Linked DNA regions of Macaca mulatta. The protein of the gene in region 1 purifies or fractionates together with the protein of each later gene. This does not show direct contact. Links are inferred from orthologs where the notes say so. Each region holds a gene or a part of one and is shown in the gene's direction. Other genes may lie near its edges.

The links. The genes of interacting proteins can lie anywhere in the genome.
Region 2: the proteins of TACC3 (region 1) and VASP purify together in Homo sapiens (co-immunoprecipitation; 3 studies listed by BioGRID and IntAct, with this or other methods). This does not show direct contact. The link is inferred for Macaca mulatta from reciprocal best matches to the Homo sapiens genes TACC3 and VASP.
Region 3: the proteins of TACC3 (region 1) and SLAIN2 purify together in Homo sapiens (co-immunoprecipitation; 3 studies listed by BioGRID and IntAct, counting the BioPlex papers as one, with this or other methods). This does not show direct contact. The link is inferred for Macaca mulatta from reciprocal best matches to the Homo sapiens genes TACC3 and SLAIN2.
Region 4: the proteins of TACC3 (region 1) and ENAH purify together in Homo sapiens (co-immunoprecipitation; 3 studies listed by BioGRID and IntAct, with this or other methods). This does not show direct contact. The link is inferred for Macaca mulatta from reciprocal best matches to the Homo sapiens genes TACC3 and ENAH.

What each region holds. Positions count from the first base shown.
Region 1 is NC_133410.1:1,837,102-1,841,697, forward strand, and holds the start of TACC3 (transforming acidic coiled-coil-containing protein 3), read left to right. Parts: upstream 1-1,638; 5' UTR 1,639-1,991; intron 1,992-3,763; 5' UTR 3,764-3,764; coding exon 3,765-3,926; intron 3,927-4,070; coding exon 4,071-4,213; intron 4,214-4,596. Other genes in the region: TMEM129 (E3 ubiquitin-protein ligase TM129), read right to left, coding at 1,110-1,314. UniProt on the Homo sapiens protein: Plays a role in the microtubule-dependent coupling of the nucleus and the centrosome. Involved in the processes that regulate centrosome-mediated interkinetic nuclear migration (INM) of neural progenitors.
Region 2 is NC_133424.1:58,036,586-58,041,312, forward strand, and holds the start of VASP (vasodilator-stimulated phosphoprotein), read left to right. Parts: upstream 1-1,426; 5' UTR 1,427-1,719; coding exon 1,720-1,724; intron 1,725-4,727. UniProt on the Homo sapiens protein: Ena/VASP proteins are actin-associated proteins involved in a range of processes dependent on cytoskeleton remodeling and cell polarity such as axon guidance, lamellipodial and filopodial dynamics, platelet activation and cell migration.
Region 3 is NC_133410.1:47,847,722-47,852,307, forward strand, and holds the start of SLAIN2 (SLAIN motif-containing protein 2), read left to right. Parts: upstream 1-1,285; 5' UTR 1,286-1,353; coding exon 1,354-1,742; intron 1,743-4,586.
Region 4 is NC_133406.1:83,381,759-83,386,624, reverse strand, and holds the start of ENAH (protein enabled homolog), read left to right. Parts: upstream 1-1,565; 5' UTR 1,566-1,994; coding exon 1,995-1,999; intron 2,000-4,866. UniProt on the Homo sapiens protein: Ena/VASP proteins are actin-associated proteins involved in a range of processes dependent on cytoskeleton remodeling and cell polarity such as axon guidance and lamellipodial and filopodial dynamics in migrating cells.

The sequences.
Region 1 (4,596 bases):
GCGAGACTCCGTCTCAAAAAAAATAAATAAATAAATAGGTAACTAATACCTAATAAAGCTTGAAAACTTTCAAACTAAGTTAAAAATAAAAAGAGCTTGACATCCAGCTGTGAGGTCAGCTGTGCTGTCTGCTTCAGGTGTGGCCTCCATGATTCACTTGTGGTCCCTCACAGGCGTCTGGGGAGGGTGCAGTTGGAAGGGATACAGAAACCCACCCAGTAGGCCTCGAAAGCGGCCTGGTCAGGGCCCTAGCCCCACTCAGCCCCATCCATTTCCCAAGTGGGCCCCCAGCCTGAGGCAGGCCTGGGCGTCTCCACCCCACACCTGCCTCCAGCTCCCCCGGGCCCGGGCAGCTGCATGCTCACACCGGGATGTGGAGGGTCACCCCTCTTGTTTCCCCAGAGCGGCAGACCTGGCCAGCCACTGGCCATTTGTCCTCCCAGAGCTGCGTCTGCCCCTGTGTCCTCCAGAGGTCCCCCCTTGAAATCCCTTTCCAACCACTGCACCCCCCATCTCCCACCTGTCTGTCATCCAACTGGCTGAGACGGGGACCTTCCAGAGCCCCAGTTACCACCTGGGGCCCAGCCCAACACCCCCCGGACAACTCTGAGGGTCCCACCTGCACAGAGGCCCTCCTCAGCCTCTGCCTCTGTGGCGCCCCCAAACTGGAACTGCCTCCAAATCCGCCCGTTCTCCCCACACCCACCTTCCAAGGCCTAGAGCAATGCCACCCTCCACACAGTCCCTCCGACCCCTTCTGTTGGACTCAATCAACAGTTGCCTTCTCCTGGCCACTGCCCGCAACCACGACAAGCAAAGGCTGCTTGGCCTTGGAACCCCCAGGCATGTGACGGTTCAGGACATGGTGAGCCGGGGCATCCCCTGCCCAAGGTTCTGTACTTGGGTTCCCGTCACCTGCAAGCCAGCGCCGGCGGCGCCCCTAAGCGCGCTCAGCCCACGCCGCGGTCCCTCTGGATGAGGACCGGCGCCTCTCCCCAGCTGCGCCCAGGCGCTTTCGGGGCCTCGGCGAGCTGGCGGAGGCCTCCTCCTGACCTCCCAGCAAGCCCTGCGCAGGAGAGGACGCGGCTGGCCGGCCGGAGCAGCCTCACCGAGCGGCAGCAGCGAGTGGCACAACAGCGTGGCGGCCGTGCGGCGCAAGTGGAAGGGCACGAAGGCGGCGTCCTCGCTGCCCAGCCAGCCCGACAGCAGGTTCTGCACCGTGAGCCCCGCCGCGTGGAACTCGTTAGGCGTGAACACAAAGCACACGGCGAACACCAGATAGGCGAGAGTGAAGGTCACCTCGGGGCTGTCCATCGCGCCGCCGCCGGGAAGCTGTCCGGCGAGGACCCCGCCCCCGGCGCGGGGAAGAGGCCGCAGCGCCCAGACCCCGACGTGTCGGTTGCGGCAGCCGCCACCCGGCCGCCCGCGGGGCACTCTAGGAGATGGAGTCCCGCCGCCCGGCCGCCCGCGGGGCGCTCTGGGAGATGCAGTCCCCGTGAGGGTGCGGCCTCTCTTCAGGGCCCGCCCTGGAGGCGGCACTGCACCTGGTCTCAATGCACAGCTGGGGAAACTTAGGCCTGAGCCAGCGGCTCTCAGTCCCTGGCCACGAAGCCCCGCCCAGTAGCGTCAGCTGCAGAACCCGAAATTCGTGCGGCGACGGCGAGCCGGCGGTCTCAGCTTCAGACACCCCCGGCAGGCCCTCCACTCCGGAAACGGAACCGTCGGCGCACGGGGGGGCGGGGCCGGCGAGACACAGCTTCCCATTGGACCCCCACCCTCCTACGGTCCCGCCCCCGGCCGCGTGCTGATTGGCCGCGCGAAGGCAACCGTCGGCGTTTGAAACTCGGGCGCGCCGGCGGCCATCAAGGGCTGGAAGCGCGGCAGCGGCAGCAACTAGGCTCGCCCCCGGCGCGGAGCAGACGCATATCCAGACCCCTCCTTCCTGGCGGCGGCGGCGCGGGCTCAGAGCCCGGCAACGGGCGGGCAGGCAGGTAGACGAGCGTCTACACGGCACGGGGAGGCTGGGGTCCCGGGGGCGCGAGGCCGTCCCGCCCCGCCCTCGGCCCTCGCCTTCCCGCCCTGGCCGCAGCTTTCCCCGGGAAGCGTCCCCCACGGCTTCTTCCCGGGCCGCCGGGGCCCGTCCCGCGCCCTGTCATGGGACCCGGCCCTAGACCGACCACCGGGCTGGATCCCCTGGGCGGTGGCCGGGGGCGGCTAGGGCTGGGCCGAGCCCGACGGCGGAGCGGGCGCCCTGAAGTGCTTTGTTCTCTTCGACCCTCTCCTGCCTCTCGGCCGCCCACCCTGGTTCTTTGTTGGCTCCCAGCTCGCAGACCCTCTTGTGGTTCTTTGGTCCCTTCCGGCCTCCGTCCTGGTGCCAACTCCATCTGGGCCACCTGTGGCGGACACCTGGGCCCCGACCGCTTCCCCGCACCTGCTGCGCCGCTCCATCTTCCCCCGCGCCGCATCCCACTTGTGCACCAGAGTAGCATCAAAGCACCGGCCTGGGGCCGGTCCCTTCCCTGCCCAGAGCCCCTCCCGGGGCTCCATAGTCGGTAAAGGCCCCTCCTGACCAAGGCTGGGTCTGCTGCTCTCCCGCACTCCTCCAGGCCGCCGGAAGGCTTCCTCCGAGTCACTTTCTCCCTGAGTTCCAGGCTTGCGTGTCCCCCAGTGATCCAGCTGCCCTTCCCCTGCCCTGTACCCAGTTATTCAGGCCAAAAACCTAAGCGTCGTCTGTAAGTCCCATATATGCCAGTGGCCAGGCCCGGGTCTGGTCTGGCCTCTACTCCTCGGGCTGCAGAAGCGTGTGGTTTCCCTGCTTCCCTCCTGCCCTTACTTCCCTACCCACACACAGCACCACAGTGGGCTTCTCAAGCTGCAGCACCGACCTGCCCGGGCTGCCCCTCTCTCTTCTCCAGGACCCTCCCCAACTTTGCTCTTTTTCAAATCAAAGCCTTCCCAGGTCCCCCACCACCAACAGGTGCCCGTGGGGTTCCTGCCCAGGTCGACACTCGGTTCTCTCTGGCAGCCTTTCTGCCTACGTCATTCCCTAGACTGGGAACGCTGTAGACAGAAAGGGTGGCAAGTGTGTGGGTGACTGGTGTGAGGACCTGGGCGGCCCTGGAACCTGGGACTGACTGGAGGCCCTGATATGGAAGCTCCTTGGCACCTGCTGCTCAGCTCTGGGCGTCCCTTGTTCGCCTACTGTCTCCCAGCTCCTCCTCTGGGCCTTCACCCCAGCCTGGTCTTGTCCCGCTGCCTAGCCCGGTGGGAGAAAGCAGACCAGAGCCGCTGTCCTGCTTTTCTGCCCTCTGCTGCCCGGTCCTGCCTCACGCCACACGCGGAGGCCGGTGGGGAGACCGCGGCTTCCTCTGGCTCTTCTGGGTTTCTTATAGGCCAGGGCTTTCCTGTCTCCTGACTTCTGCCTGACGTGGTAATACAACAGTAGAGATTATGCGGTCTTGGTTTTTCTTTCTCACCATCTTAGCCTGAAGGCCCTTTAGCTCTTGGTCCCAGGAGGCAGCGGTGCTGCCCATGGCTCCCGGTGCCAGGCTGGAGAGTGAGTCTCTGAAGCAGGATGGGGACTCAATCGGAGGCTTTCTCTGCCCCACTTGGCAGAGGACATGTGTGGGAGGTGTGAGCTCCAGAACAATGAGCACACCTGTGCCGGAAGGGGTCGTGCTCCCTGCGGCAGCTGTCATGTCTGTGTCTGGACAACATGGTTGTGTTGCCCTCACACTGACACAAACATGTTCTGCTTTTCCAGAATGAGTCTGCAGGTCTTAAACGACAAAAATGTCAGCAGTGAAAAAAGTACAGAAAATTGCGACTTCCTGTTTTCCTCACCAGAAGTTACCGGAAGATCGTCTGTTCTTCGTGTGTCACAGAAAGAAAATGTGCCACCCAAGAACGTGGCCAAAGCTATGAAGGTAAGTGTGACCTCTACAGTGTGTGGCTAGCCAGGTTGCCCTAGGACCTGCTTTCCTGGTGACCTCTGAGCTGCAGGACACTGCTGGTGTGGCTGTAACAGCTTGAACTAATGAATGGGTGCTCTCCTCCTCACTCCACAACAGGTGACTTTTCAGACACCTCTGCGGGATCCACAGACGCACAGGATTCTAAGTCCTAGCATGGCCAGCAAACTTGAGGCTCCTTTGGCTCAGGGTGATACCCTTGGACTGGAAAACTGTCACCCGGTGTGGACTCAGAAAGAGAAGTAAGTGTTCATGCTACTGGACATGCTGGAGCTTCACCCTCTCTGTCCGATGGCTCTTGCAGAAACGTGCTGTCCTGTTCTGTCAGGCCTTGGCTGGAATTTTTTTTTTTTTTTTTTTTTGAGATGGAGTCTTGCTCTGTTGCCCAGGCTGGAGTGCAGTGGCACTATGTCCACTTACTGTAAACTCTACCCACCCCAGGTTCATGCCATTCTCCTGCCTCAGGCTCCCCGAGTAGCTGGGACTACAGGCACCCGCCACCACGCCCGGCTAATTTTTTTGTATTTTTTAGTAGAGACGGGGTTTCACCGTGTTAGCCAGGATGGTCTCGATCGCCTGACCTTGCGATCCACCCGCCTCAGCCTCCCAAAGTGCTGGGATTACA
Region 2 (4,727 bases), on another chromosome or scaffold:
AGCCTGGGCGACAGAGGGAGACTGTATCTCAAAAAAAAAAAAAAAAGAAAGAAAAAAGAAATTAAGTCTACCCCTTCTCCCAGACAACTCAGCCTCAGGAGACACACTGAGAAACAATGATAACCTCTGAGGATCAGGGTTCAAGATCTCCCAGAGTGGGGTGGAGAAGGGGAGGGTAATTAATGTCAGAGCTTGGCCTGTAAGGAGGAAGTGCTCTCCAGGTAAAGGAGGTCAGGAAAACATCCGGACATGGGACTCGGCTTGGAAATACGCTGGAAAAGTGGATTCTCTCACCTAGTCAGCTGGCCCTGAGAATTGTTGGTTTTACACTCAGATCTTGGTGGCTTTCCGGGTTCTGGGGGCTCAGGCAAGAGGGTCATAGGCCAGATTCATTCCCTGTCTCCAGGCCTCAGTTTACCCATGTGTAAACGTGAAACTGATTTCCCAGGGCCTCACCCGGGCCCTCACCCGGGCCAGGTGGCGCTCTACCCAAGGGGCGCGACCACATCAGTGACGTCACTCGGGGCGTGGCCGGCAAGACACGCTGCGGAAGCCTCGGAGGGTGTCTGGGCTCAGCCTGGAGCCGGCGTGTGGGGGCGGGGGCTCCGGGGAGGGTCTCCTCACCTCCGGGCCCTCCTGAGGGCTGGGATGATCCTGCTGTCCTCCGCAGGCGAAACTGAGTCAGAGCGGGGCGTACGTGGGTCGGAGGCTTTACATACCCAAGAAGCCGGCGCCTCCTGCCCACCTCGGGCGAATGCCAGGCCCCCAACTCCGGCACTCCTCGCCAGTCCCCACCTCCACCCCCACCCCACCCCCGACCCTGCGGCTGTGAGTCAGCGGCCGACCGCGCCCCCTTGGCCCACTTCCTCCTCACCTTCCCGGGGCGGGCGGGGTGGGGTGAGAGGGGTGGGGCCCTACTCCCCCCCACCTCCCCTCCCGCGCGGGTGGGGGGCTCGCCCCCTTAGTAACCCCTCCGAAATTGACAGAAGAGAGACGCTGGGGAGGGGCGGGGTTCCGAAGATGGAATTTCAGGGAGAAAATCTGAGACCACTTGCTTAACTAACTGGAGGGTCCTCTTCGACCCCCAAAATTGAGCGGAGTACGAGATGGAGAAGTCGATGGGGAAAGAAATCGTGCCCCTTCCGAGACGCTCCTGAGAATTCCCACAGTGGAAGCGAACTAGGGAGCAAGGGAGGTCGCCTTCCCCTTCACCAAGCTTGCCCCTCCATGTGGTGGTGACTCCCAGGGTGCACCCCTGGACGATAACGTTGGGGAGAGCAGCAAGATCGCGGAAGCAGAGGGTGCCGAGTTGCCCTTTTAAGCGCCCTCCACCCCCTCGCCTGGAGGCGCGCGCGGCCCCTTTAAGGCGCGGGGCATTGTGGGTGCGGGGAGTGGAATTTTGGAACGAAATGTAACGAAGAGAAGTACAGTAGTAAGAGTAACAGTGTAGCCGCCGCCGGCAAGGGGGGCGCGTCGGGGAGCAGACGCCGCATCCCCTTTCTGCCGCAGGGACCTCTCATCAGATCGCCTGAGGGAAGCGGCGCCCGGAGACCCGCCCCGGCCCGGTCCACGTTCTACCCAGGAAGCCGGACTCTATGGGGCGGGACCCTGGGGGAGCCTGAGTCGAGCCCGGAGCCAGCCCCGAACCCCTGAACCTCCAGCCAGGGGCGCCCCGGGAGCAGCCAGTCCGTGGGCGCGCCGCCCGCCCGCAGATCAGCCATGAGGTGAGCCGGACCTGCCCCCCGACCCGTCCCCGCCCGGGCGGGCTCCGCGCCCCGCCTTTGTCCCCCTCCCCCCAAGCTCGCTCCGGGCTGGAATTTGGGGACAGATCCTTGGGAGCCTCGGATTTGGGCTGAATCCCCTAGGACAAGCCCCAAAACCGTCGATCACTTCTCCACGACTGACTTCCCAAGCTCGGGGGGTGGTGGCGGTGAGGTTCCCCTGGGAGCCCTCAAGATTTGGGGACGCTCGGAGGACTCCCGAATTGTTAAGACTTTTTTTCAGAGGACCTCAAAGTTGGCAGCGACTCCCCGCAGGGATGCCAGGATTGAGGCAGGGCTCAGACTTTCCTCCCCCTCCCCCCAAACTTCAGCTCGAGGTCGGGGAAGGATTGTGGGGGACTGGTTTGGGAGACCCTGGGACTTGGAAGAGAGACTGAGACTCAGACCCTTGGTGTGCAGGGACCCCGTTTACGTGGTGCTGGAAAAAGTCTCCCCAAGTGAGACCGCGCTCCTGAACTTCGGGGGTACTTCTTAATCCCCTAAATTTTGGGGGGCACTTAGGTCTTCCTGTGGAAGAGGCTGGTATGAACCGATCCAGGGACCCGGACGCAGCCTCCGGAGTCTGGTGGGATTCCCCTCCCCCGTCGCTCCGCACGCAATCTGCTTAACAGGCAGTGCCTAGGACAGAGCGGGCGCTCGGAGCAGAGGGCGGCTCCCTGCCCCGGGCCATAAGGGCGGCCCGGCTCCCCCACCTGCGCGGCCCTGGGGAGGGAGGGGACGCAGCAGCTGGGGGAAGGGGGCCTTTGTCTTCCTGACTCACCTGTCGAGACAGCTGGTGTGGGGGGCGGGCACCGAGCGCTGTGGGCCGGCTGCCTTCCCCACCACGGCGCCTCCCCCTTTGCTCGCCGCCCCCCCCATCCATCCGGAGCCTTGGGGTTGGAGGAAGGGGAGCTGGAAAGCTTCAAGGTCATAGCCCTCTTCCCTAGGGACCCAGGCTTCCCAGATAATTCCAGCTATCTTCCCAGGAATTTAATCCTGGGGGCGGCGGCCCAAGGGACCCAGGGATTTGGTCTGGCCGGGGCCTCCCCCGAACTCCTGGACTCACCTGAGGGCGGGGCCAGTGTGGGCAGGGGGACCCAACCATCCTCCCATTCTCCCCTCCCCTGGCCCCCCATAATCTCTCCCATGGGGCCAGAGCCTGACAATACTATCTCCCTTCCTCCACTCTCTCTGGGACTTCCTGCCCCAAAGCCCCCAGCCTTAGCAGGGAGGCCCCTGGGGACGGCTGGGGATTAACCCCGTGGTGCCCACATCCCCTGCATTTCCTGAACCCCTGCCCTTTGACATCGGAGTGGAGTGGCGTTCCTTTTTATGACCACTAGAGAATTCCCCTCCCGCGTTTGTTCCTTCTGATGTGAAAGGCATGGCTGGAAAATTTGGAGCAAGGAGGACACCCACAGATACCCTCAAGACTTCCTGCCTATCCTATCCGCTCCCCATTATAGCAACATCCCTTCCAAGTCCGCCCTGGAGAGGGGTCAGTTTAGGGAGCGTCGCTCTCTTCCTTCGCCCTCTTCCTCCGGGACTCTTCTCTCCCCTTGCCCCCCAGCCCCGCCCCTCCACCCCCCTCGCGTTTCCGGTCCCAGGCTCAGTGGAAGGCGGATGGCGGATGTCCGAGTTAGTGCTGCCTCACTCACTGCAACCGTAAAAGGGCAGGAGTGGTGTCTGGGCCGGCCCCCTGCCCTCCCCACCACCACCACCACCACCACCAGCAGCCCTGGAAGCCCTGGCCCTCCCACAGGGCCCACCTCTTGCTGGGGCGGTGATCAAGCATCCCACCTTGTGGGGGTGCTGGGGTGGGGTGCAGTGCAGAAGTGACCAGATGCCTGTCCCACCAGAAGGCCACTCCCACCTTTCCAGGGGTCTCCCCTGCAGGTGGTCACACCCGACTTACTGGGCTGTGCCTCTTCTCCAAGGACAGCCAGGATTCAAAACCCATGCCCCTATTACCCAGCTGGGGAAACTGAGGCTCAAAGAGAAAAAGACATGGCCAAGATCCCTCAGAAATTCCTAGGCAATGTTGGAGGGGTGGAGGAACCTAGGATCCTCTGATTTCTGGCTGGTTTGGCTGGGGGACAGTCCTGGGGGCAGTTGGAAGAGAGGATGTTAAGATGGAAAATTACAAGATATAGTTCTTTTTCTCCCAATTTGACAAATATTTGTTGAGTGTCGGCTGTGTCCCGGACTGGAGCTGGGGTGCTGGGAAGACAGAGAAGCGAGGCAGAGGTCTAGAATCTCAGGGCAGAAGGGACTTGGGGAGAATTGGGGTCTATTTCTTTCTTCCAATAATAGCTATTTTTATTTTTTTTTAAATAAGAGACCATTTGATCAAGCATCTATTTTATGTGGGGCATTTTTGTGCCTGACAGCAATTCTGGGTTGTTTTTTTTTTTTTTTTTTTGCTCTTGTTGCCCAGGCTGGAGTGAAATGGCGCGATCTTGGCTCACTGCAACCTCCGCCTCCTGGGTTGAAGCAATTCTCCTGCCTCAACCTTCCGAGTAGCTGGGACTACAGGTGCCTGCCACCATGTCCGGCTAATTTTTGTATTTTTAGTAGAGATGGGGTTTCACCATAATGGCCAGGCTGGTCTCTAACTCTTGACTTCAGGTGATCCACCCACCTCACCCTCCTAAAGTGCTATGATTACAAACATCAGCCACCACACCTGACCCCTCACAGCAATTCTTTTTTTTTTTTTTTTTTTTTGTCTCGCTCTGTCGCCCAGGCTGGAGTGCAGTGGCGCGATCTCGGCTCACTGCAAGCTCCGCCTCCCGGGTTCACGCCATTCTCCTGCCTCAGCCTCCCGAGTAGCTGGGACTACAGGCGCCCACAACCGCGCCCGGCTAATTTTTTGTATTTTTTAGTAGAGACAGGGTTTCACCGTGGTCTCGATCTCCTGACCTTGTGATCCGCCCGCCTCGGCCTCCCAAAGTGCTGGGATTACAG
Region 3 (4,586 bases), about 46 Mb from region 1:
AAAGCTAAAGGATAGAAGCAAGCCAGTCATGGCAATGAGTCCACACTCAGGTGTAACAGGACTGGATCATTGTTATTAAACTAAGGGTGGAGGCGGCAACTGAAGAAAAGCTGCAAACACAAGCCAAAGCAGTTCACAATTGACATCTGAAGACCAATGAATGTGATCAAAATAAAGCATTTAAGTTTTGTTTGGGTTTGCTGCCACATTCTAAAGGCGGACTTCACATTCATACAATTTTCTGCATTCTTCACTATCTGTCAGCGTGTTTAAGTACTTTTAACACACAACTTTAAAAAAAAATCAAGACACACTATGAGGAACTTTTTCCGAAGAAAATGATCCAAGGAGCAGAATGTGAGTCAATAAACGGAGAAAGGGGGTAGAGAAGCGGTTTACTATCCCTTGCTTCCGCCCCTGTGTGCTGCAAACTTTAAGCCGGGAAAACTATGTTTTAACGGATGAGATAATGCCTTTAAAACTGCTTAGCACAGTGTCTGGCCAGTAGGAAGCACTCAAGCAATTATGATTATTATTTTGACCTTAGACCTCTCTTAACTGTCTGAAACTGGGGTTTATTTTCAGGGGAAGAAACAGGACACAGGCAGTCTCAGACGATCCCGCCAGCCGAGACAATCTCCAATTAAAAGTCGGCATCGATTAAATATTTGCTGAAAAAGTAAACTGTCTCTCCACAGCCGGGCTGAGCGCCCACTCGAGGTCTGGCCCGGAACAAGCGCGAGACTGGCCCGCGGGTCCCACACTCCGTGTAAGGGGTGGAGAACACCCCACACGCCCAGGCCAACAGGCGGGGCTGATCGAGGTCCGTGTTAGCCACCTCAGTCCCGCCAGCGGCGAGCCGCCTACTCGCCTCCCGGCCTGCAGGAACCCTCCCTAACCAGCCCGGCCTCGTCCCACGTCCGCCGACACGCCCCTTCCGGCCTAATCCCCGCCCCTCGAACACCGGCCCCGCCCCATAGGCCCCGTCAGTGGCCCCGCCCCGCCGCGAACCGGCGCCCGGTCCTCTCAGCGCCCGCCGGCGGCCGCGTCCACCCGCGACGCTCTGAGGTCACCGACGGGGCCGGCCCGCGGGGGGCGGAGGGACGGAGGGAAGATGGCGGCAGAGGCCGGATATTGGCGCCGCCTCCCCCAATCCCGGAGCCGGCGCAGATGAGGCAGCTCGGCTGGGGCCAGCGGCGCTTTGGAACCCGAGGTGGGGGGACCCTGGCGGTGGGGCCTGGTCCTGCTATATGCCGGCGCCTCGGCTAGAGTGAGTGGCGGCGACGCCTCTTTCCTCCGGCTCTTTCCCTGTCGCTGCGAGAGCGAGCGGGCGGCGGAGGCGGCGGGGCCGGGATGGAGGACGTTAACTCCAACGTGAACGCGGACCAGGAGGTGCGAAAGCTGCAGGAGCTGGTGAAGAAGCTGGAGAAACAGAACGAACAGCTGAGGAGTCGCTCGGGGGCCGTGCAGGGCGCCGGCTCCCTAGGGCCCGGCAGCCCGATTCGGGCCGGCGCGTCCATTCCCTCCTCCGGCGCGGCGTCTCCTCGGGGCTTCCCCTTGGGCCTCAGCGCCAAGTCGGGCGGCGGGGCCGGGTCGGTCCCGAGGCGGACGAGTAGCGAAGAGCTGCGGGACGCCACCTCCTTGCTGGCGGCGGGCGAGGGCGGCTTGTTGGACGAGGTGGAGCCGCTGCGGCCCGACGAGCTGGAGCGCCTGTCAGGCTGGGAGGAGGAAGAGGAGAGCTGGTGAGCTTGGGGCGCCGGGTCGGAGCTGGGCGGGGACGGACCCGGGGGCGGAGAGCGTCCTCTGAGGGTCCCTCTGGTCTGGCGCCTCGCTTTGTGTAGTCGAGAAAACTCCCGTGGGGACTCGTGGTTTTCTTGCTTTGGCAGAGGGAACCTCAGCTGGAGTTGGGGGTTCGAGGCGTGCGCAAGTAACAGGGTTGTAGCTCGTTCTCCTTTGGATTGTGGACCTTCTGGGTGCTGGACCCTATTGGGGTCTGTGGATTGGGGCAGCTTGAGAAGGGCTGTTCGCCTGGGGAGGAGTCGGAGGTGGGAAACTGCTTTGTAGGCCGGGGTCCTGCTTTGTGTAAGATACTGGCTTTCGGATGGTGGCCCTGGGCATTTTGGATGTAGGAGAGGGGTCTGCTTGATGAGGTATCACCAGGTGTGGGGGTCGGGGGCAGACCAAAGTCGTCTACGTCTATGCAACGGTTGGTGTTTGGGACCCATGTCTGGCAGGGATGGGGAGACCGTGTGAATCAGCACTCCCCTTTGGGTAGTGGGGTAAAGCTTGCTTTGTGTGAAGAGGGCAGAGGATGGTGCTGCTTGTTTTCTTTTCTTTTTTTTTGTTTTTGTTTTTGTTACTCTTTGTGTGAAGAGTCAAGGGTGGAACTAGAGCCCCGGCTCTTATTTTCTAAAACGAGTCTGGCGTTTTGCAGAGCTCTGAATTGACAGTTATCACATCCATCTTTCATTTCCACGTTCCTCCTAGGGGCAGAGAAAAAGAGTCCTATTTAAAAATTTGAACCAAAGCTGTATTGTCATAAGCCACTTCTTGATGAAATTGTGATCCCCCCCACCTTTATATTACTTTCATAAATAGGACATGGGAGGTTTTCCCCTCGTTTTATTATAAAGATGTGTGTGGGAAATTATTTGTCTTAATTTTTCTTAAAGTTAAGTTTTAACTTTTAGCTAAAATATCTCTGTTCTATTGAAATTAAAACTTCTAACTTAGTGAAATCGAAATCATGCATAGACTCTTATTGTAGGGTTGGAACTTTTCAGTGTTCTGAGGTAGTTAAGAGCTTTCCTGGATTCAGGCCCTGGTTTTGCCACTTACTAGCAGTATGACCTTGAGCAAGTTACTCTGAGGCTCACTTTCTTCTTCTATTTGATGGAGAAAATAATAGCACTTACCTCTATAGAGTTATGAAAACTTAGATAATTATGTATGCATTTAGCGCTGGATCTGGCACGTAGTAAACTGTCTTAAAACAAGCTGCTATTTGTTACTCTTAAGCCTAGTTACTTAAATCAAGGAACATGATGTTCTTGTAAATCAAGAATCTTACATGATGTTGTAGGAGATTCTGGAGATTCTTAAGTGTTGATCCCTGTTCATAAGGCAGTTATAGTCTTGTTGAGAACTAAGTTTTGTGCAGTTAAATAAACTAGAAAGTGTACAGTGAATTACCCAAAGAGTGATAGAACAAAAAGTGCTGACAGTACTCAGTAACTGGGAGAAAAATAGTGGTCCACAGTAGTTGGGCCAGACTTTGAGGAGGAGGTGGCTTTGGAGTCTGGAAGTGAGTAAAGAGCGGGAAGGGCATTTTATGCTCTTGACAGCTAAAAGAGCAGAGTCAGAGGTATTCGTAACTCCCAGTTAGGAAGATTTGAGTAACAGGATTACTCTTGAGTATATGATGACAAACCTTTATTACCAAGTGATATCAAATATTAGAGCTGACTATGGTAGTGACAGTTTTTGATATAAATGTGAAATTACTTTCTCCCAAAGGAATCTTGGGTATGCATACACTTTAAAAGAATCCAGAATCTTGTAAATATTGTCACATGGCTCTTGCAAGTGATGATAATAATGATGCTCATAATAATGAGGATTAGCTGCACCCATCAGCCCATTTTAGATTATGTATTATTAGAACACATTGAGTCCACTTGGAGGAGCCGATTAAGTCTTTGGCTGCTTTGGTTCCTGAGCATGAGTTTTGTTAAGGTAAAGTAAGTCTTCCTTAAATACTGTGCCAGGAGTTTCTTTTGACCAGATGATTCCTGCTTAATGCTTTGATCCTGGCATCATATCTTGATCTTACAGGTGTCCTGTACTTTTTCTGAGATTTGTGTGAACTGTAAGTTGGATATAAATAATATTTAAAATGCGTTGGGGTATGTGATTAGGGTAAAAGTTGTAGGGGGTGGATGTCAGTGGCAGAAAGGTTCAAAGGCAGTATTTTTTCCTTTTTTAGCAAGCTAAAAATCTACCTTCTGTAACTTCTAGCTATTCACCTTCCTTTTCATCTAGAGGAATGTTTCCTCCCGAGTGTATGTGCCACAAAGTGCTAGTTCTGAAGATGTCAGTAAGTGCTATGTAGAATAAAAGTGGGTGGGTTCTGGGATGGAATAAGTGTGGGAAAAACTGATTCTACAAAAATAAACAGTTTTCTTTAATGCTGGGCTCTTGGAAATGCTAATGTGTTTTGAACATAGTAAATCTCTAGGGAGTATGGTTTGGTCCTAAACTTAATTGAGCTCCCAAGGAACTAGTATCTTATAGAACACACATAGAAAATAGTGCTCTACAGCAGTCACTTTCACACTTTTTTTTTTTTTTTTTGGACCCAGCTTCATGATAAATACATTTTAACTCATAATCAGGAATTCACATATATATGAATAATGTATATGAATAACTGAAGCAAAAGTTTAACAAAATGTTGATTACTTCTACTACAAGTGATATGCTCAGATATTTTCCTTTCTATTCTGTTTCATTAGAATAAGAATGCTGGTAACTACCCAGCTAAGCTGATTTTGTGACCCATTAATGAGTTGCAATTCTCACTTTGA
Region 4 (4,866 bases), on another chromosome or scaffold:
ATTACAGGTGTGAGCCACCGCACCCGACTGAAACCAGGAAGCTTTTTTATGGTTAAAAATGGGCTACACAGTTCTATTACAGGCAAGTCAGGCATTGACCGTGGATCACTATAACTTGTCTTTTCATTTGGAAGTGTACATTATCCCAACCTTTATAACTATCTTTTGAATGGTACCTGCATCTTAAAACAAAACACCGAAACTTTTGAACGGATTCCTGGAGTCATGGCAGGTCCTCCATTTTGGATGAGATCCTTCAGCAACAGGATCCCTGTAGCAACAATCCTTTCTCATCCTCATCTTTTATACAGAAAGTACATCCCTGTCTTCGGGACTAAAAGGGGGCTGTAATTCGTACAGTTAAATTTTTTATTATTGGATTTGTTTTTAGATTAAAAAAAAAAACCAAAAAAACCTCAACAACAACTATCAATTCTGGCTTCCTGGATGCCCTCCTCCCCGACTTGACTTGAAATTGCCTTGCCAGTATTTTATATCTACTTTTTAAGGGAGGTGACTTCAAGACCATTGGGAATGACGGAAGATTTAAAATTATCATTAGTTCCTCTTTCTCCCCGCCCCTGCCCGGGATTCCCTCTGCTAATGACGCTGGAAAGCGGTTCCACTGGCTGCGTTTCTCTTCTTCCACTCTTACGGCAACACACGGTTCCGCGCGCGTCTCCGGCGACTGCGTTTCCCCCAGAGTCGGCTGCGTTCGTTTGGGGATGAAGTCATCCCTATACCTAGTGTGCACATCAGCTTGTTCCATCGGCGCAGCACGCTGGGATTCCTCGGGAAGGAGCGAAGGGAACAATGATGACCATATTTTCCATTTATATGCCCCTCCTCAACTCCGCAGGAATCGCTGGGCGCGGCCGCGGCGGGGTCGGGCGGTTGGGCTGACCGGGATGCCCCCCGATTCCCTCGTCCCAGTCCTGAGACCGCAACAGGGCGGGCTGAGCACTCGCCCCGCGCGAGGCACTCGGCCGCGAGCCGACCCGGAGTATCCTGGCCCGGCCCTGTACCCAGTCAGTCACGCGTCCCAGCTCCCCACGCCGGTGCCTGCGGGTCCGGCGCCTAGGAGGTCTCGGCGCCTAGGTCTCCGCACCGCGGCCGTGGGGGAGGCCCCGGAGTTCCCCAAGCCTCTGGGGAGCGGGAGGCGACGGGGAGGGGGCCGACAGTCAAGGACAACTCCGGGCAAGGAACCCCCCGGCGAGGAACCCCGGCCGACAGCGGACGGGACGTTTTGGGTGGGGGTGGGGGGGGGCCGGCCCGAATCCCAGGAGGTTGCAGGGGGCGGGGTAGGGAGGCAACAAAGAGCCTCTCTTCGTCGTCGCCGCCGCCGCCGCGCTCGCTCCCGCCCAGTCAGCTCTCCGCAGTCCGGCGGGGGCCCGGCCGCCGGCGCGGGGGAGCGCGCCCGGCCCCCCGCCTCCCCTTTCCTCCCCTCTCCTCCCCTCCCCCCGCACCGCCCCCTCGCCCCCGGGGGAAGGAGGCGAGGAGGGCGGCGCCTGCGTGTTCCTCCGCCGCGCGCCCCGCCTCCTCCCGGGCTCCTCGCGGCGATCCCGACTCTCCTCCCGCGGCTGCAGCAGCTGCCGGTTGCACACGGCCTCGGCGGCGGCGCGGCGGGCGCGGGCCTGTGGAGCGGCGGCCGGGCGCGCGGCCCCGGCGGGCACCCCTCCGAGGGCGGCCGAGGAAGCTCCGGGAGGAGGAGCAGGACCACGAGGAGGTGGGAGGCGGCGGCCGCCTGGGGACCCGCTCCGCGCCTCGTCCTCTCCGCCCCCTCCCCAGCCTTTCTCTCACCCTCTTCTCCCACACTCCGGGCCGGCGCCTCGGCATTGTGCGAGGAGATGGTGTAGCCCCCTGGCCGCCGAAGGAGGAGCCGAACACTTGTCTCCAGTCTCCGAGCTGCTCCCCACCCCTGGAGGAGAGACCCCCTCGGCTCGGCGCCTTCCGCGTCTCCCAGCTGGTGGGGAAGCCTCTACGCCGCCGGCACCATGAGGTGAGGGGCGCGCGGGGCGGGGGCCGGGCGGGCCATTGTGCCGCGGGAGCCGCGACCCTCGTTCTCCTTGGACCCCGCCTTCCCTCTGCTGGCCCGGCGCGTCTCCCAGGTCTCCGGTCTGTTTCTCCCCCCTCCCCCTTTTGTCCCTTCCAATTTCTCTTTCTTTCTTGGAAACCTCCCCAACCCCTGTGGTTTGGGGGTCTCCTTTCATCGTTCTCTCATTTTTCCTCAAATGCTCTTCTTTCACCCAGGATTTCCCTTCCTAAATTTAATTTGCGCCTGGCTCCCTCCCCCCAGCCTTTGCAAGCGAAACCCGGGAGATGGGGAGGGGTTCGAGAATCGAAGCGTGCATGTTGCTGGGAAACAGGTATTTTTTCGTATATATGTAAAAATTTCATGCACTTTTGCCTCCGAACTCTCGTGTTTAATTATAAAAGGAGGAAAAGTTTGAAAGGTCTGAAATCTCTGCGGGTAATAAAGTGCCTCTGGTAGGGGTGGGTAAAGGAGCTGTAAAAGGTGAAATTTCACGATGGTGGGGGAAGGGAAAGAATTGATTAGGTTCACGTGGTGGGGGCAGTAAAAGACTGGGATAAGTTGGTAGGGGTGTGTAAGCGGGGGCGGGGAACGGATTTGTTTGGAAAAGCCTTTTCTCCCCTTCCTCTGTAGCAGCCTGTGTTGCATTGCAGCAGCTGCTTTTGCCCTTTGCTCTGTAATCAGTAAAACAGGAGCTAAATTATTTTTGCGGCCCCGAAGAAGAGAATTGAATGTACTGTCGTAAAATATTTTTTTAATTGATACGTTGAAACATATGGTGTGATATTTTTCTTTATTGTTTCTCAAATTGTGTAGGAGAATAAACCATGATGTGGTGTGTCATTCATTGGAGATTTTTTTCTTCCAGCCTTTCCTAAGCCTGTTTTGTGTCCATAACCTTCTCTTTTCGGATTGGTGCAAGACTTCGTGAGAAATGGGACTTGGTAGACTGAAGGCTGATCCATTCTGCGTTATCATCCTTAAAGGCCTTCCTTTTGGGTTAAACAATTGTGGATAAAGTAAATTACTCCATTTCTCTCTCCTGGAAGAGATAGTCTTACAGTTCATTTGGATTTGAATCTCCTTTGTGTTAAAGATTAATGGTCAACCGTTGCCAAGACCTTTATAATGTAATACAATGAGATTTGAATGATATAATCGACAAATTCCTTCGCTTTGGCAAGAAAATGTCATGTCATTGGAATTCTTTCTCAATTTCGGTGGTTTCCATTTTAAACTTTGCTTTTCATTTTTTTTCTATCAAGGTTGAGCGTGTTTCCATTTGGCTTTTGTATGTATATATTTTGTGATATATCTGTGTTGAATTTTCACTTTCGCTTACTGTGAATTTGAATTTTTTTCTCTGATTCCAAGTTACCTGTATTTATGATGGCCTTAAAGAGTGAGTTTAATGTTGTGTCTCTAGGTGACTGACCCCTTTTCCCTTGATGATTTCGCACAAGTTATTTTCAAATATAAGCGATCAGTTTAAATAGTAGTTATAGCATACAAACCAAAAAACAGTCTTTGTAAAATATGGCTTGAAAACTTTCAGTCATATGTTTGAGCATGACTTTTTTTACTGATGTCCTTGAAAACTCAGGAACTATAATATACATATTGTTGTATCTTGTAATATTATATGTTGTTGGTTTCTGTTTTAGAGATCTAATGCCGTAGGGATCTTACAGACCAGAAGTTATCAGTTGTTTCAAACTTTGGGTAAACTTAGCTTAACATTGAGAAATATAAAACAGTGAAAGTTTTTTTTTTTTTTTTTTTTTTTAAAGATACAGTCTTGCTCTGTCGCCCATGGAGTGCAGTGGTGCGATCTTGGCTCACTGCAACCTCCGCCTCCGGGTTCAAGCGATTCTCCTGCCTCAGCCTCCCAAGTAGCTGGGATTACAGGCGCGTGTCACCATGCCCGGCTGATTTTTTGTATTTTTAGTAGAGACAGGGTTTCACCTTGTTAGCCAGGATGGTCTCCATCTCTGGACCTTGTGATCCACCCGCTTCGGCCTCCCAAAGTGCTGGGATTACAGGCGTGAGCCACCGTGCCTGGCCAAAAGTGGGTTATTTTTAAATAAAAACAGGTATAGTTGTGTAATTCAAAGATTGTGAACTAAAAAAAGTTGCCGTTTTGGGTATTCAGTAAAGTTTAATCACTGTCATGTATAGATGTCAGTCTGTCACAGGTAAATTATGTCTTCACTTGAAAATTCCTTTTCTAATAAAAAGTAACTTCTGTTTTTTAAGCTCTTTTCTTGCTCTGTTCCTTGTGAAGTGTAGAGAGAGAGGAACCACACTGATGTTTTCCAGTAACGTAAATATAGAACTTGGTACACAGGTCTGAAAAGTTTATTTAAGCAGTCTACCGTAATTCTTTATACACTAATTTTGAGTAAGAGCAGGAAAGAGGGTCAGCTTTTCACTTTGGAAGGAACTGGATTATTTGGTAGGTGGTTAGGTAGTGCTTAGAATGCTTAGATACCTGTAAAAGTGAGATTGGTATGAGATAGAACGTTCTTGTGCTGCTTGCAAAAAAGTCTTTGAAATATTCTTTGGAATATTTTGGTGCTTAAGAAAGTGCTTTTCAGGTTGTATTAATATATGCTTAGTCTTCATGTTTTCAAGGCCTGTGGGACATAAATGTTAGTCTTTTAAGTTGAGTCCTTTTTGGTTATATTAAGTATTTCTGATGTTTCAAAGGCCACCTAGAAATAGGAATGCGTGAACAGGAATTTCCAATTAAGTGGGTCAGAATCTTGAACAGAGGATATGATAAATACATTATGGTATAAATATTAGTGATATCTCTCAGATGACTTTAATTT